2 linked regions of the Diceros bicornis minor genome follow. The protein of the gene in region 2 purifies or fractionates together with the protein of the main gene of each other region. This does not show direct contact. Links are inferred from orthologs where the notes say so. Each region holds a gene or a part of one and is shown on either strand. Other genes may lie near its edges.

Region 1 (7,964 bases), on a different chromosome or scaffold from region 2:
ACTTGTTCTGCCTCTGCAGCCCAGGGCTCACCAGTTCGGATCCTGGGCAGGGACCTACAGACTGCTCATCAAGCCACACTGAAGTGGCATCCCACATAGAGCAATTAGAAGGATGCAAATCTATGACCTACAACTATCTACTGGGGCTTTGGGGAGAAAAAAGGAAAAAAGGAGGAAGATTGGCCACAGAGGTTAGCTCCATGTATTAAAAAAAAAATACATGGCAATTGTGGAAAATTTAGAAAATATTGAAAAGTATAAAGCAATGAAAAACTACCCATCATTTGACCATCCAGTGATAGCCCCCAAAATACATGCATGTTTTGTATTTTCTTTTCATCTTTATGTATATGTGTTTATAAAACCTCAACTTTTCTTTTACCTATCATATCATGAGTATTTTCCCGTGTGACTAAACATTCCCTAATACTACGAGTTTTGGTGGCAGAACAGTAGCCATTGTATGGATGTATTATTTAACCACTCTCCTATTATTGGACAACTGGGTTATTTTCAATTTTATTTTATGTATATATGAAAAATATATATTTCCTAGAGAGAGAATTATCTATCATTTTAAAAGGTTATTTACATTTTTAGCCTTCTTCATACTTATCGTCAAAGTATCCTCCTCAAAAGTTATACAAGTATACACAACCATCACCAGTGGAGAAAAGTTAAGGCACGAAGAGCTGGCATTGGTCTCAGCACTATTTTTACATATTTTATTTACAAGTCAACCTCCAGAGGGTATTCCCTTGTGACCCATGCACAGTTCATTTGAACGTTGTGTGTGCCCCACAGCCTAGTACCATTAATGCTTTTGTCATCACGTCAACAGCAATTGGCTCAGAACTCTGCTCATTGTGATGCTGGTGAAGTGGCCTCCTTAACGTTCTTAAAGATAGTTGGGTGTAACGGCCTCAGTGCAGGACTTTTCTCTTAACCTTTCCTATCATGTTAAGAGTGAGAATTCAAACACTGTACAGTTTAAGCTACAGTATGCCTGGCCTATAACTTGGCTCAAGACATTTATATTTACGTCATTTTTGTCTGCTTATTATACTAACAAGGTGGAAAAAGCAGTTCCAGTTCTCCCAAAAGGTAAAATTCTGGTTTTTTGTATATTACTAGAGTTTTTAAAAATAGGTTACAAAAATTACAGTACATTTAGGAATAAGTGCACATTGAGAATTTTGAGATATTTCATGAAGAACACATTTAAATCCAAACAAATATAAAATTTAATTTCTTAAGAACTGGGGTGGGAAATAGTACAAAAATAGAATATTAAGTTTTTTTCTTAAGACATTATTTTAATTTATGCAAAAAGTATATGTCATTTAAATTACATATTTTTTATCACAAAAGGAATGAACAGAATATCTTTTCTCCTGTCTCTTAATCTTTTGAGTCAAAATGATTCGAATTTTTTTCTGATCTCAGTTGAAGCTTCTATTTGTTATATTTTCTCAGTGGCATTTTTTTTTTTTTTTTTTGGAAGTGAGGCTTAAAGCAGTTGGCATTAATAAAAAAATAAAAAGATTAAAAACGTGAAATGTTTTAGATGACAATAATTATATTTTATGTTTCTATTGATACAGATTTAATACTAGGTGGACGATTAATGAATATCAAAACAGTCACTTTAAATTGAATAATCTAACCCTAGAGAAGAGTGTACTCCCCTTATAAAAAATTATTTTTACTCATTCTCGTGCTTTTTCTGTGGCCCAATATCACTTAGTAATTTGATTCTGATTTTACAGAAATGGAATAGTCTATGAATATTTTCCAATCAAAGTGAATAAAATATTGTCTAAAATACTCTAGATCCCTTCATTTCAAGCTCTCCCTGACGTTTTGGCCGAATAACTGAATACAGATATTTCTTTTGCCGTGTCTTCCTGTGAACATTGCCCCAGTGATAGCTTCATATTTCTCTCATCTCATCATTCGGAAGCTATTTATCCACTTTTTTCCACTGCCTCCTTCAAAATTCCCCCTCCCCCATCGTTGAATGCCTGTTCAGCCCCCACACATTCAGACACATTTATTCCCGTAAAGATAGTGACACTTATGGTTTATTCTAAGACTGAATCTGTGTTGCCCAGTGACTAAGGACTTAAGCATGCACACTGCTTCTACGCTTACCCTCCTACCTAACTTGACTACTCAACTTTTTATTTCTTTCCCTCAGATTCTCTGTTTTGGCACAGTTCAGTTAACACACCACTGCCAGGCCACTAATTGATTTCTGAAACCTGACATTTGTTTTTTGTTTTCTCCTATCTTCACTAATGGTACAGCACTACTAAGCAGGAAGGAATGCAAAGAACTAGAAAGTTCAAAGTAATTGAGGATCTGTCCATTCACACTGTCTGGCATCACGCCAATGTAGAACCTGGAACATTTGAAAAATATTTATCAAGTTTTAACCCTTTTTGCTAAGTCGATGAAGCAGGTTTGCAGCTGTGGCATTTGTGTTCGCAGCAACAGCAAGTCAGCTTGGTTGAACATGTTCTTTATATGTTCAGAACCCCATGGCAAATGTCTCAGAAAAGGATTACTTTCCAATTTCCGTACTATTGTACAGTGCTAAGCTAGTTATTTTCTAAGATTGCACAGTTGGGCATTTGAGAGAAACCATTACTTAAAAATGGCAGCCCTATTTCATGAATTTTTACGTCAGAAATGAAATTTAAATAAATGCTACTCTATTTGAGCAAAAAAAATTGTATTCAGCTTTTCTATTGTAAATTTGTTGCGAGCTCAGCCTTAGCTAGGTTCATATCTATATTTATTAAGAAAAGTAGAAATGTGAAAAAAATTAACAGGATTATAAAAATTTTGTTAACCATTTGTGAAATAGTTGGGTTCCCCTCCCACTGGGAAAGCTTTTGTAAATGAAAGCATGTTAAAAAAATGGCGTGAAATATAGAAACATCTCCAGTAAAATAACTATATTTTATTACATTGAAAACTTAGGTTGAAATAACAGGCCACTGATGCTCTGGTACAAAGAAAGACAAAAGGAAAGGTCTAGGAAGGCTTAAAAGCAAATAAAAATATAAATAAATACCAAATTGTATTAAATCTAGATTAGATTTAAAGTTAGAATACAAAAGTTCTATTAAGAGTTATCTATATCACACTCAGGTTCGATCATGTTATCAGCATTAAATAACTAAAACCTTTCAAAGTTCAATTTTCAAAAAAGTTATATTAAATCCCATACCAATTCTACAACCTGTTTCTAAGTTATTTAATTACATAATTGGCTTCAATATTAGAGAAAATCAGGACAGCTTTTTAAAGGTGAAGGTGGATAGTATGGAATTGTTTGCTTAGAAAAAAATTTGCAAAAACACTTACGAAATAGTACTTTGGAAACATCAAAGTACTCATCAACCATTATCTGAAAGCAGTGATCACAGCTATAAAAATGAATCATTTATTAACAAGAAGGGAATGAAAAGGAGAAAAAAATATATTTTACAGCACAATTTTATGTTTTCTAATAATAAATACCTCTCATACTTTATGTGTATACTAATTTTTTTAATCTACACACTGAAATGAGATCCATACCTTTGATAGACCCACTCTGAAGTGAACGTTTTTCTAAGAACTCGTTTTTTTAAAGCTGTTTTACTGTGAAATGATGAGTAGGCTGTTGTATTGTAAAATTGTCTAATAGGATAGTGTGCTGTCAACCTATATACATATGTAGTAATATTACAGGCATTTTTATTGCAGTTTCTTGTTCCGGCTTCCCAAAAAGCCAGATAAAATCATGTACAAGACTATTAAGGATTAAGGGAAGTGGTTTCCTTAGGTGATTGCTGGCAAAAATTCACCTTCCTATTATAACATAATAAATGGACGGTAATATATTTGGCTATTACTTTCCTACAAATTTGGGTTCCTAGTTTTCAGAGCTGCTGCGTGTCTAATATTTGTGGCTTCTTTGGTTCTCTTTTCGTAGGAAAAGGTATTAGGTAAATGTGCTACGTTTCTGTTTTGTAAATAGCAAACTCCATTTTTTGAACTTACAGTGCTAACAAAAATAAGTCAAAGATGTAATGTCTATTTAAATACATTTGATCTAGTCGTTAGTGCTTAAATTAGATTCCATGCTTCGGCTAGAATCAACAGGGTAAATATTAAAAACTTCAAAATTCGTATGGCCCATCCCCCTTCCCTCCACACACAGATATGAGTTAGAAATGTGTGTCAAAACTTCTAACCATTTAAATACTGTAGGAAAAAACAAGCTTTTATGCAAAGACAAAAAAATCTTGCCATTAAACCTTTTATTCAAGACATTCCGAATTTTCTTTGCTAAATGGACATGTTCACTGCTAAAGATACATAGAGACAAGAGCTGTTTTTAAATTTGTTTATCACACCGCCCCTAGTTTTCCGCTAAAGAAAAGTACATTTTGTATATTTAAAAATACCCACTCATTAAACAAGTTTCTAAAAACCTTAGCGCCCCCACCTAGCTGCCTTCTGGGTTTCAGCTTTTGAGTTTCAGGTCCTTGCACAACACCTAAGACGTGCAAAACTCTTTTTCTCCCTAATCCTGTCAGAGAACAGTCCGAAGAGATCTCCCTCCACGTCTCCACCCTAATTCCCTCTCTTCCTAGATTCCACCCGCTTCTCCCGGTCCCTCCGCCCCCGGCTCCGCCAGCCCAATCTGTCACAGAAGTTGTGTACAAACTGCGCGGCCGCCCTGAGCGCGAAGCTCGTGGCCCAAGAGGGGTGCGGTCGGCCCGGCGGAGGCGGGGCCCTGGGCGAACTCCTCCCTTCTCATAGGCTAGCCCCTCCGGCCCGGCCGGCCTCGGGGCCTCGCGATTGGCCGCAGGGCTGCCAGTTTGGTTGGCGGGCCCCGCCCACTCGGAGTTGGGTAAAATACAGGCGGGCGTCAAGTGTCAGTAGTCGTGGGGCAGGTAGGCGCGCTCGCAGCTCGCTCGCGGAGACCGGCGGTGGCGGGAGCGGGCTCCGGCGAGTGAGAGCGCGCGGTGGGGCGGGGCGGGGCGGGAGAAAGTGGCCGCCCGGAGGACGTTGGCGTTTACGCGTGGCGGAGCGGAAGAGTTTTGCTTTTTGTGCGCGCCTTCGAAACCCGCGCCTGTTGTTGCCTGAGGGGTCCGCCCGGAGCCTCCCCTCCTCCGCCCGCGGCCCCGCTCCGAGCTCGCCGGCCCGAGCCAGCGTGGGCGAGGTGGGAAGCGCGCTCGACCCGCGCCCCGCGCCCGGAGCCGCCCCCCGAGTGCCCATGGCTACGCGGGTCCTCACCATGAGCGCCCGCCTGGGACCCGTGCCCCAGCCGCCGGCCCCGCAGGACGAGCCGGTGTTCGCGCAGCTCAAGCCCGTGCTGGGCGCTGCGAACCCGGCCCGCGACGCGGCGCTCTTCCCCGGCGACGAGCTGAAGCACCCGCACCACCACCCGCAGGCGCAGCCCGCGCCCCCGCAGCCGCCGCCCGCCGCGGGCCCGCGGCTGCCCCCCGAGGAGCTGGTCCAGGTAGGCAGAGCGGCTCGCCTCCCTCCGCCTCCCTCCCGGGGCTCGGGCGTGTCCCGCCGCTGCGACGCGCGGGCGACAGGGGCCGCTCCAGGCTGGGGCGTGCGTCGGGGCGCACCGGGAGCCCCAGTGCGGTGGGCAGCCCCGCCCTGCCCTCCGAGGCTGGGCACCGGTGTTTCCTGGGGAGAAAGTCGGGGGCCCCGAGGGAGGGTGTCCAAGATGAATCTGCCCTGGCCGGTCCGTCCGGGAATGGTTGAAGAAGGAACTAGGTGCTCACGCGCACCTTGGTTGTTTTTCTTATATTTGGAGGATGAAGCCTCGTACCTCACGCCCAACTTTACTTAAATTCCGCCTTTCCCCGTAATCCGCCGCTCCTTCCAGTGCCATGGCCTTGGAGGTCACCCTATCCCGCGTCGTCTCGGGTTAAGTGGAAATGCAAATCGGGGTGCTGGGGTGAGGCCCCTCCGGGCGCTAGTTTCATACCCCTTGGTTCAACCTGTTTTAGACGCGATCGGGCGCTGCCTTTGGGAGACGGGAGTTAGAAAAGCTAAGGTTGTATTGGAGGGCTTATCTTCCCTTAAAAAGAAAGACAAAAAAAGACCAGGGCTGTTGTTTTCTTCATGTGCGCGTAAATTTCCTCCCGGAGCCGCGTTGAAAGCTGGCAGTTGGCTTTTACACTTGCCCGGCAGCCGAATTAGAGCAACCGCCTGTTTCTTTCGCCCACGCAGGGAGTCATATAGCCCAGAAAAAACTTCCCGGGACTTTTAGCCTGTACCAAGGAAAAAAAAAAGTTGGAAACATACCCACATGCAAACAGCTGGAAGAGCTAAAATCAGAAACCACTAACCACCACGGGAGCGAAGTGCATGAAGGGGTTTAGTTCGGTTTATTTCAAGACGCTTCATTTAATAGCCCCTTGGTATATTGTGTGTTGGCTACCCAGCTCCTACTCCGGGGGTCTGCGAGTGTCGCCGTGCTGTGAAAGGGCCAGGGGCATTTGTCAGAGATGTGACTCACATGACTAGAGCGATAATTTTTATTTTTAAATCGTGGCTATCCGGGAAACCCCGTCTGCATCCACACCGAATGATACGAGGTCCGATATGAAACACTTTTGAAATTAAGTAGTAGCAAAAAATGACTGCATTATTCACCGATTAAGATGCTACCGTTAATAGTTCTATGAGCCTTCTAGTTGGTGGGTTTTTTTTCTTTTGAAATTTCCTTTTCAGTGTTAAAAATCTATGTTAGACTAGGAGAGAAAATAGCTGTAAAAAGACTCAGGAGACTAGTTACAAGCTGGATTATGTCCTTAAAAAATCACTGTTTGGAAACGATTTGGTTATTTCAGTTTGTCAGTTTTCTGCTTAGGAGACACCAAGAGGGTAAGGGATGACTGAGCTTTTTACAGAGTAGGGGGGAATGTAGCATTGGCTCACTGAGGAGGACGTGATAAATGTTTTGCTGATGACTGTGCTAGCCGTTCTGCAGCCTCTCCCCACCCACAGGCCCCTTAGCACCAGTCTACCAAGGGAGTGATTTTCCCCTAGGTAATTAAAGATCTGTTTTAGATAGGGATATGAATAGGAACATTTCATTATCATATTAACCAATTACAGAATCTGCTGATTAAAATCAACATTTAGATCGAATGTCGAGTGTGAAGTTGTTTTGTTCTTTCAGTGGATACTATATTTTGCTCAAAACATTGTATTTAAGTTTCCATTGAACCATAAACGAGAAAAGACGCCAAAATAGCCGTGGAATGTTTTATATTAGATATTTCAGCAATATCTATCCAGGCAAAAAAAAAACTGCCATATTATTAAGATTTGCATAGTTTTTTTAAAAAAAAGTTAAACTCGCCTATATGGCATGAACAGAATCAAGGTAGTTTGGCGATATTACAATACTGTACTTGAGTTCTAAACGTAACTGAGTAATCGGGCAGGGAATCTTGCTTGTACGTGAGTAATAATAAAATATACTTTATTATTGCATCGGAAAGGAATATGTTTTCTGTTTGCTTCCTTTCTTTCTTGATTTTCCTCTTTCACTTTTTGTTTGGGGTTGATTGTGGGAGCAATTTTACCAAGTACAGGTTATACAGTTTCATAAGGTTTTGGTGAACTAGTTATTACACAATTGGCAAATAAACCTGATATGTTTATAAGCAACGCTTAGAAGGAGTTGGCCCTAGTACATTTCACACGGATTGTTGGGGGAATTTTTGGTAAGGACCCTTTTGTATGTCCTTCCTGAAATGATGAATCGGATGGATTATGCATGTTTGTATCTCTTCTTTTTTAGACAAGATGTGAAATGGAGAAGTATCTGACACCTCAGCTTCCTCCAGTTTCTATAATTCCAGAGCATAAAAAGTATAGACGAGACAGTGCCTCAGTCGTAGACCAGTTCTTCACTGACAGTGAAGGGCTGCCTT
Region 2 (7,265 bases):
TGGCACGGGGAAGTTTGTGCTGGTTTCCTTCACCCTGGCCCAGCTGGAGGGAAGACAAAATAGTGCCCCAGCTTTAATTATGCTAATCCCCTGCTCCCCAAAATGTGTGGGTGCAGACATAGGGATTTTGAGAGCCACCCCCAGATACCATGGGGAAAAAGCTAAAAAGGATAGCAGAAAATCTTGGCTTCCACATGTAAAGATGGAAGCCTGAAGGTGAGAACAGGCCATGCCTGCCAGGCTGGGCATGTGCTGCCTCCAAGCTGAGTCAGAGGCTAGGAGGGAAGGATCAGGGTGCTATGGTGCCAGGGGCTACAGTGCACCCACCCTTATCCCACCTGGGATTCCTGACACCTCCCAGCCCTGGGAGAAGGCCCTCCTCATACAGGAGGAAGGAAACCAGCTTAGCGACTCTCTGGAGGCCTGCAGGGCAGCCCTGCACCATGAGGCAGGCAGGAAACCCAGGAGTCCTGGCACCCAGCCCAGAGAGTGAGTGAGAGAAATACCTTGGAGGGGAGGAAACAGCCCAAGTGAGGTAGACACATGGTGCCCCTAGCAGCTCCCAGACGAGCCCCATAAGGAGAACTGGCCAAAGGGGCTGGATGGGGAAAGGGAACACATTTCTGAATAAGAAGAGAGAAGAAAGTGGTGCCATGGGGATGGCGGGGGGGGGGGGGGGGGGCAGGGGGGGTAGCCTGGCTCTCACCTGCTGTCCTCTCCTCCCTGTCAGAGTCAGAGATACTGACATTAAGGCCACCAAATATCCAAGAGGTCCTGGGGTCCTGGGTGTGTTTCCCACTCCCCTAATCTTCAGACCCCAGCCCCTTCATTCCTGAGCTTCTTCTGGCACCCCTTCCCCAGGGCCAAGCCAAACCGGGAGTCAGCAGGCCCAAGGTGGTGCCTGGGAGGCCTGGGCAGTGCCAGGGGCAGCCCTCATACCATCCTCCCACTGGCTTCCCTCCCGCCTGCTCTCAGCCGCCACACACATCTCAGCTGTCGAATCCGATTAGGGCTCCTGCCCAGTGAGCCGGACAAGGAGGCCACTGGGCAGGGGAGAGACAGGGACAAGGACGTGGAGCAGGAATGGCAGAAGGAAGGTGGAGACAGGGCTTGGGGGAGAAGGTGTGGAGCCCCAGAGGAAGAAAAGCCTGGTAGAGAGATCTGTCCTCTCTGACCACAGGCGCTCTGGCATCAGCTACAACTGGCATTAGGGGAATTCTGCAGAACCCTGGGGCAACAGCCCTGCCTGGTTCCTCCATTCCCCAGATGGGCAAGGATGGGGGAAGGAAACTGAAGGCAGAGAGACTGACCTAGATTTAGGAAGAGAATCCCATCCTAGAACCCTCCCCACCCTCTGCACTCCAGCCATAACTACCATTTGCACTGGGCTTTACAATATACTGTCTTAAGGCATCTTGATAGCATTATCTCTACCAGGCAAGCGGGGCTTGTTACTGATCATCATTTTTACAAGTAAAGAAACAGAGGCTTAGAGACCTGTATAAATGCACATAGTTAAATGACAGGGCTGAGTCTCAAATTCAGGCCTCTGATTCTCAGTCCACTGCTTGCACTCAGAATCTCTACTTTTCTCCCTGGGTCAAGAGCAGAACTAAGTCTGAAATTACTCCAATCTCCACCCTTTCCTCCAAACCAACCCCACACCTAGACAGAGTTACCAGATAGGGACATGGCACCCACCTCCAACACACAGAGAGCTAAAGGGGTTCCCCCAAAGTGTTTCCAGTCTCTTCTATCACTCCCCTCCCCAGTCCGCTACACCCAGAGGCAATATACACACTCACACACAGAGTTACTCATACACTAATCCTGCAAACCCACCAAACCATAATGAGGTGCCCTAGATCTTCAGAGAGCAGGGCTTGTCAGTCCCCCGCTGGAGAGAGAAACAAGCCACTGTAAACAGTAGGTGCCATCCAGCCCTCTCCCCGAGAGCCTGCAGGAGGGCAGAAGCTTCAGGGTAACACCATGAGCCTGAGGCTCTGAAAGCCGAGGAGCCCAGGTTGCTGGCATGGCTGGGTGGCCTTCTGGATGTGGTCCACACCCCCATTCCCAGCCATCTGGGCTGAGCCTGTTCTGGCCTTGGCCAGACTCTGGGATCTCTCCCCTTCAATGCACGCAGCCACCTCTATCCAAAGCTTATAGATCTTACAAGTATATGGTACACACACACACACACACACACAAACACACACACACACACAAACACACAGGGGGTGGGGGGGCAGGTGGAGGACTTTCCTACAGGCGTTGAGGTGTTGGCAGGGATGGGGGCTCTAAGCTGAAAGAACTTTCCCCAGAGGAAAAGGTCACCAAAAACCGCTCACAACCTCCACCATTCTCCAGCAAAGGCTTTGGCCACCCAAGTGTGAGATGAGCCTGGAAAGGGACGTTAGTTCCCCTACAAGGTGAGTAGGGAGGAGGGGGTGAAGTCCTGAGTTCTTGGGCTTGGGAGGCAGAGAGGAAGCAAGAGAGAAATCCCCCAGGGGGGCTCAGGTCCCTCTCCTGCTCCCTCTGTTCTCTATTACCCCAGCACTGCCAATTCTCCTGTCGAGGTGAGGTGGGGGAAGGGGTATTAGGCAATACTGCAAAGGAGGGTGCAAGGGCGTGAGGCCTGAGCAGACCTTCCCCTCACTTTCTATTCTTAGCCAGAGAACAGGGAATGCCTCGGGGGAAGTGCAGGAAAGGCGCTGGAGGGTGCAGGGGCTCTGAGTTTCAGACACCCCACTGTTCCCAGGCTCCCACCTCCCAGGACTACAGTGAGCGGTGGGGGAGGAGGGACGGGGAAAGCCTCAACTGGCGAGAGGGAAACGACCAGATCGGAAGCGAAGAGGCCCGGCGGCAAGCAGCCGAGGGAGAATTGGGAAGGGGTGTGTGTGGTCCTACCTGTGGTCCTGCCAGGTGCGTGCTGGCATGAGGGCAATGGGGTTCCCAGGAGAACCGGGGAAGCCCTCTCAGCTCGATTCAGGATTCCCCTCTGCTTCTGGGTTAGGCTGCTGCAAGAGGCTCAGGTTCCCGTTGGGTCCTAAAGCCCAGTCACCACACAGTAAGCTCTCCCCGCCCTCTTCCACCAGCCCCGACTGGGTCATCGGGTGCAGAGCTGAGGACTGATGGGAGAGAAAGAATTCACTGGGAGAAAGACTGAGAGAAAATCTGAGTCATGGGCTGGAGACAGGAACAGTCCCCAATCTCAAATACACAGCACATGGATGACTTTAGCTGAGGATAGGATAATACAGTACAGGAGAAAAAAGACATTTCTTCCTGCCTGCCCCAAGCAGATGGATTTGGGCTTTGGTGCTGAAGATGGGGTTAAGATCTCTTTCCCTATCACTCCAGCTAAGCCACTTAGCTATGGAGAATTTGGGGAAGGGGGCATTCATTTTGGAAGGGTGCTCATTTCTACCCTATCCCTCGTAGATGTAGCAGTCTCCTCATCCCTCCCCACTATTCCTAAATGCCAAGAAGGCCACCCCTTGATTTCCAGTAAGTAAAAAGGGCAGTATAATTTGGATGGCAGTTGGAAACTGCTGTTTTATACCCTTAGGCTGAGGTGTATCTGGGAGTGTTGAGGTATGCAGATTATGCATATACAGTGAGAGTGTGAGCAGGTGGGGCTGGGTGACTGAGCTCCATCCATTACCAGAAATGGCAATTGTCAGTGGAAGAACGAGGTGCAGAATCTAGGGGTCAACTAGTGGCCCTACTCAGCCCATCCTGAAACTTTACCAGGATGAACAATCTAAAGAGAATGTTTTCCCAGGTACCATTTGGGATAAATATAGGGGGCAGAGGGGCCTCTTAACACACTTAGATCAACTTCAAGGTTACAGAGCCAGTTTAGGATAGCCGATCTTCTCAGTAGCTCCAAAGGGAGAACTCAGGTTTGGTGGGCCAGGTGGGCCAGGGAAAGGTGGATAGGAAGGCTGCAGGGGGCTGGATTGAGAACATTTTGCAAGGAGAGTTGCACATATCTCCCGCAGCAGCAGAGCAGGGAAAACGTCATGGGGTAAAGGGCCAGGGGAAGTCAGGGACAGACTTGAGGGAAGGGAGAAAGCATGGCCTCTTCCTAGAAGGGGAGAGGGCAGTAGCATTGCCTCCACCTTCTTCTCTGTCTTGCAAGAAAAATGGGGAAAGAAGCTAGATAGTACAGAAGGACAAGGGCCTCAGGGTGGAGTCCATGGGATGAGCTCAGGTCAAGCCTTTCACCCTAATGTGCCTCAGTTCCCTCCCAGCTGTTACACCGGGCTCTTGGTTCTTCCCAGGCAGTTAATGAGTGTTTACAAGAGCTTGGAGATCCTCAGATCTCAGCTGAGCCACCACTACAGTTATAAAGCTCAATAAGGGCTGAGTGTTATTTGGGGAAGGGAGGAGCAAGGAAAGAGGGAAACAGACTACTCTCTTACAAACTAAGGATACAACCAAGCTCAGAGCAGCACAATCCTCAGCTGCCACAGGATATCCTTGTGCCCAGGGATGGAGGTCACGTACCCTCGTACCTCCAACAACCAACGGCTGGTCTCCAGCTAACTGTAGGCAGAACCCAGACTAACAGCTGGTCTTCATTAACTCTAGCTTTTTTCACCCCCCACTGTGAACCCACAGCTTCTACAGCCCTAGGCCAGTGGGGGCTGCCCTAGCTGACCTTGCAACTGACTCTGGGTTGGGGGGTGCTGCACCAAAGGCCAAGTTACCAGCTGAAAATAAAGTTGAAGCAAGTCTCCCTTTTCCCACTGGGAGGATGAAGAGAGGAAAGAAAGGAGTGTGGGGGTGAGAGGCTGGAGGTGGGGGAATTTAGGGCAAACAGCAGGCAGTGAAGTCAGCTGGATTGAGGCCCAGAAACCCCCACACCCTTTGGCCAAGTTTTACTCTAGCTTTGCTTTCAGCTTGAGTCTTGGCTAGGCCCCAAACTAGGGAAGGCCCTGGCTGCCCCTTTCTGCCTCCCTACCCCCACCCTTATTAAATACACATTTTATCTCTCAGCATCTTCATTATCTTAACTGAAGGAGACAAGCAGTGGATGGCGGCAGCAGAGAGCGTCAGGAGGGGGGGCGGGTGCGGGGAGCAGGCGCACCCTTGTTATAAAATGCTGATCTAGCTGTTTCAGGCAGTGTGGGAAACAGAGGAGGGATCAAAGGGAGTGAGGCTGATTCAGAACTCAATTAGAGCTTTTTAAAAAAGGAGCTGGCTCTCTCCTTTCGCCAGTCTTCAGACAGCCTTTACCCAGGCCCCTTGCACCCAGTTAGCTTCTACTGCCAGTACCTTGGGGTTGGGGTTAAAAATGAAGAAGAGGCCAGAGGTCACGCCTTCTCCCCTACAGAAGCCTTTCTTCTGAGAAGAGGGAGACCTGCCTCTGTCGGTAGCTTAAAAGAGAATGTCTTAGAGAGCACCTTATCTTTTTAGGAGGAACCCAAGATTACAACTTTCCCCAAAAGTGAAAATGTGGGACATCAAAGGTGGGTTCCTTCTTAATCCCTTGCCACCTAGAGGCACAGCTTCTGGCCAATCTCTAGGGACATAGGTAACATCCAGACAGGTACCCCTCCTCCCACCTGGTAGGTAGGACTCTCCCCATAGGCAAGGCTTCCTGGGAGCAACATGGAAGTTGCCTTAAGCAAAATACCACTACATCAGAGGGAGCGATTGGAACGCATATGTGAGGCCAATAAATCCTCCACATTTTGTAAGATGGAGCACCCTTCTTTTACAGGGGCCTGTTCTACGTCAGTGCAAAAGCATCAGCCATGTTTACCTCCAGATCAGAACTGTCCTCAAGACGGAAGGAACGGCAGCAACTTGGTTCATTTCTGTTCATTCAACAATTGCTTACTGAATACCTACCAGGTACTGGGCTCTGCACTAAGTGCTGGAGACAGACACAAATGTAAATAAAATCTCAATCTTGGCTCTCTCTTTTGGTCTTCCTCCACAGTCAAGGTAACACCTCTCAAAACATATTTTTAAAAATCTCCAAGTCGTGTCTCATTCCTACTTCCCAGTTCTTATTGGTGTATCTTAAAAGGGCACTTAATAAAGGCAGGGACCAAAGTGGGGAAGAGAGAACAGAGCTCTGCCAACATTTTTTGATCTCTGGGTAGCTTGGACCTCACACACTCTTGCCAGTTATCTAGCCACAGGCAAGTCTTCATTGAGCCAGAAATGTCAGCGGTAGCTCTGGGGTTGAAACTCACACCAATTTTATTGTGTCTATGTTCTTTCCATGGCAATACCCACCAACGCTCTATGGAAGCTTAATCTGCTTCTCTGAAGAAAAATAAATAAACCAGGATATAGACACACACCCCACCACCTTCAAAAGGAAGAATGTAGGTCAGCATCTTTTGCCACTACTCTATGTGAAACAGCCTATGATCCTGGCAAAAACTAGTAACCACAAACCCATCCCATCCCACTAAAAATCCCAGCACCTTCCCATAGCTCTCAGCTTCAGCAAGAAAAGGATTTTCTTCCTCCCCTCAATCTGCTCCTCGGCTGTTTGAATTACACTTAAGACTTCACTGACAAACATACATCAGCTTTTGCTCCCACAAGGGCAGCGGAAGCCAAGCAGGGACTCTAAGTCTGCTTCACGCATCATTGACAGAACCAACCCTGTTCCAATTGCTGAAGTCTTAAGAGCAGCAATGACCTAGAAATTGACGGTGGGGAGAGAACTGAAGGAAAGGAAACTGACAAACCAGTACACAGAAAACCCTATTTCCAAATACCCGGGGAAAGGGAGAGAAGGGAGGTAGAGGGGAAAAAAATTTGGCCCCTTGGATCTGCAAATGCAATCTTGGCTCAGAGCCATGGAGGATACATAGCAGCCCCACTGCGAGTCAAGCCATGTTCCTGACTCAAGCCCTAAAGTTAAGAGGAAGGCGCCAAGCCTCAAACACAACGAGGTGGGGAGGCCGCTCCTTTTTGGGCAGGATCCTACTGTGGACACAGAACAGACAGCAGCTGCCCACAGTGTGGAAACAAACTGTAAAGCAGTCACGTCTCTTAAGGCTGCAGCATCCAATAAAATGTAATTTAAATCAAGCCTCGCATCTGTTCTCAATCCCATTCAGTCTCTGCTTTCCATCAGCCTTCGGACAATCTTTGCAATTATGCTTGTTAACCCTTATAGCCCCAGACACTTTCCAAGCTTCTAGGTATAGAACTGTTTTCCACTTGCAAATTACCTTCAGAGGGAATGAATGCTCTAATAAAGGAGTGTGAGGGGGAGTATGACATTCAGA

What was found. Proteins that work in one complex are often made in the same cells at the same time.
Region 1: the proteins of RARA (region 2) and KLF5 purify together in Homo sapiens (affinity purification with western blotting; 4 studies listed by BioGRID). This does not show direct contact. The link is inferred for Diceros bicornis minor from reciprocal best matches to the Homo sapiens genes RARA and KLF5.

Annotation. Positions count from the first base shown.
Region 1 is NC_080748.1:53,134,625-53,142,588, forward strand, and holds the start of KLF5 (Krueppel-like factor 5), read left to right. Parts: upstream 1-4,960; 5' UTR 4,961-5,278; coding exon 5,279-5,524; intron 5,525-7,831; coding exon 7,832-7,964. UniProt on the Homo sapiens protein: Transcription factor that binds to GC box promoter elements. Activates the transcription of these genes.
Region 2 is NC_080757.1:39,814,853-39,822,117, reverse strand, and holds the start of RARA (retinoic acid receptor alpha), read right to left. Parts: upstream 3,012-7,265; 5' UTR 2,908-3,011; intron 1-2,907. UniProt on the Homo sapiens protein: Receptor for retinoic acid. Retinoic acid receptors bind as heterodimers to their target response elements in response to their ligands, all-trans or 9-cis retinoic acid, and regulate gene expression in various biological processes.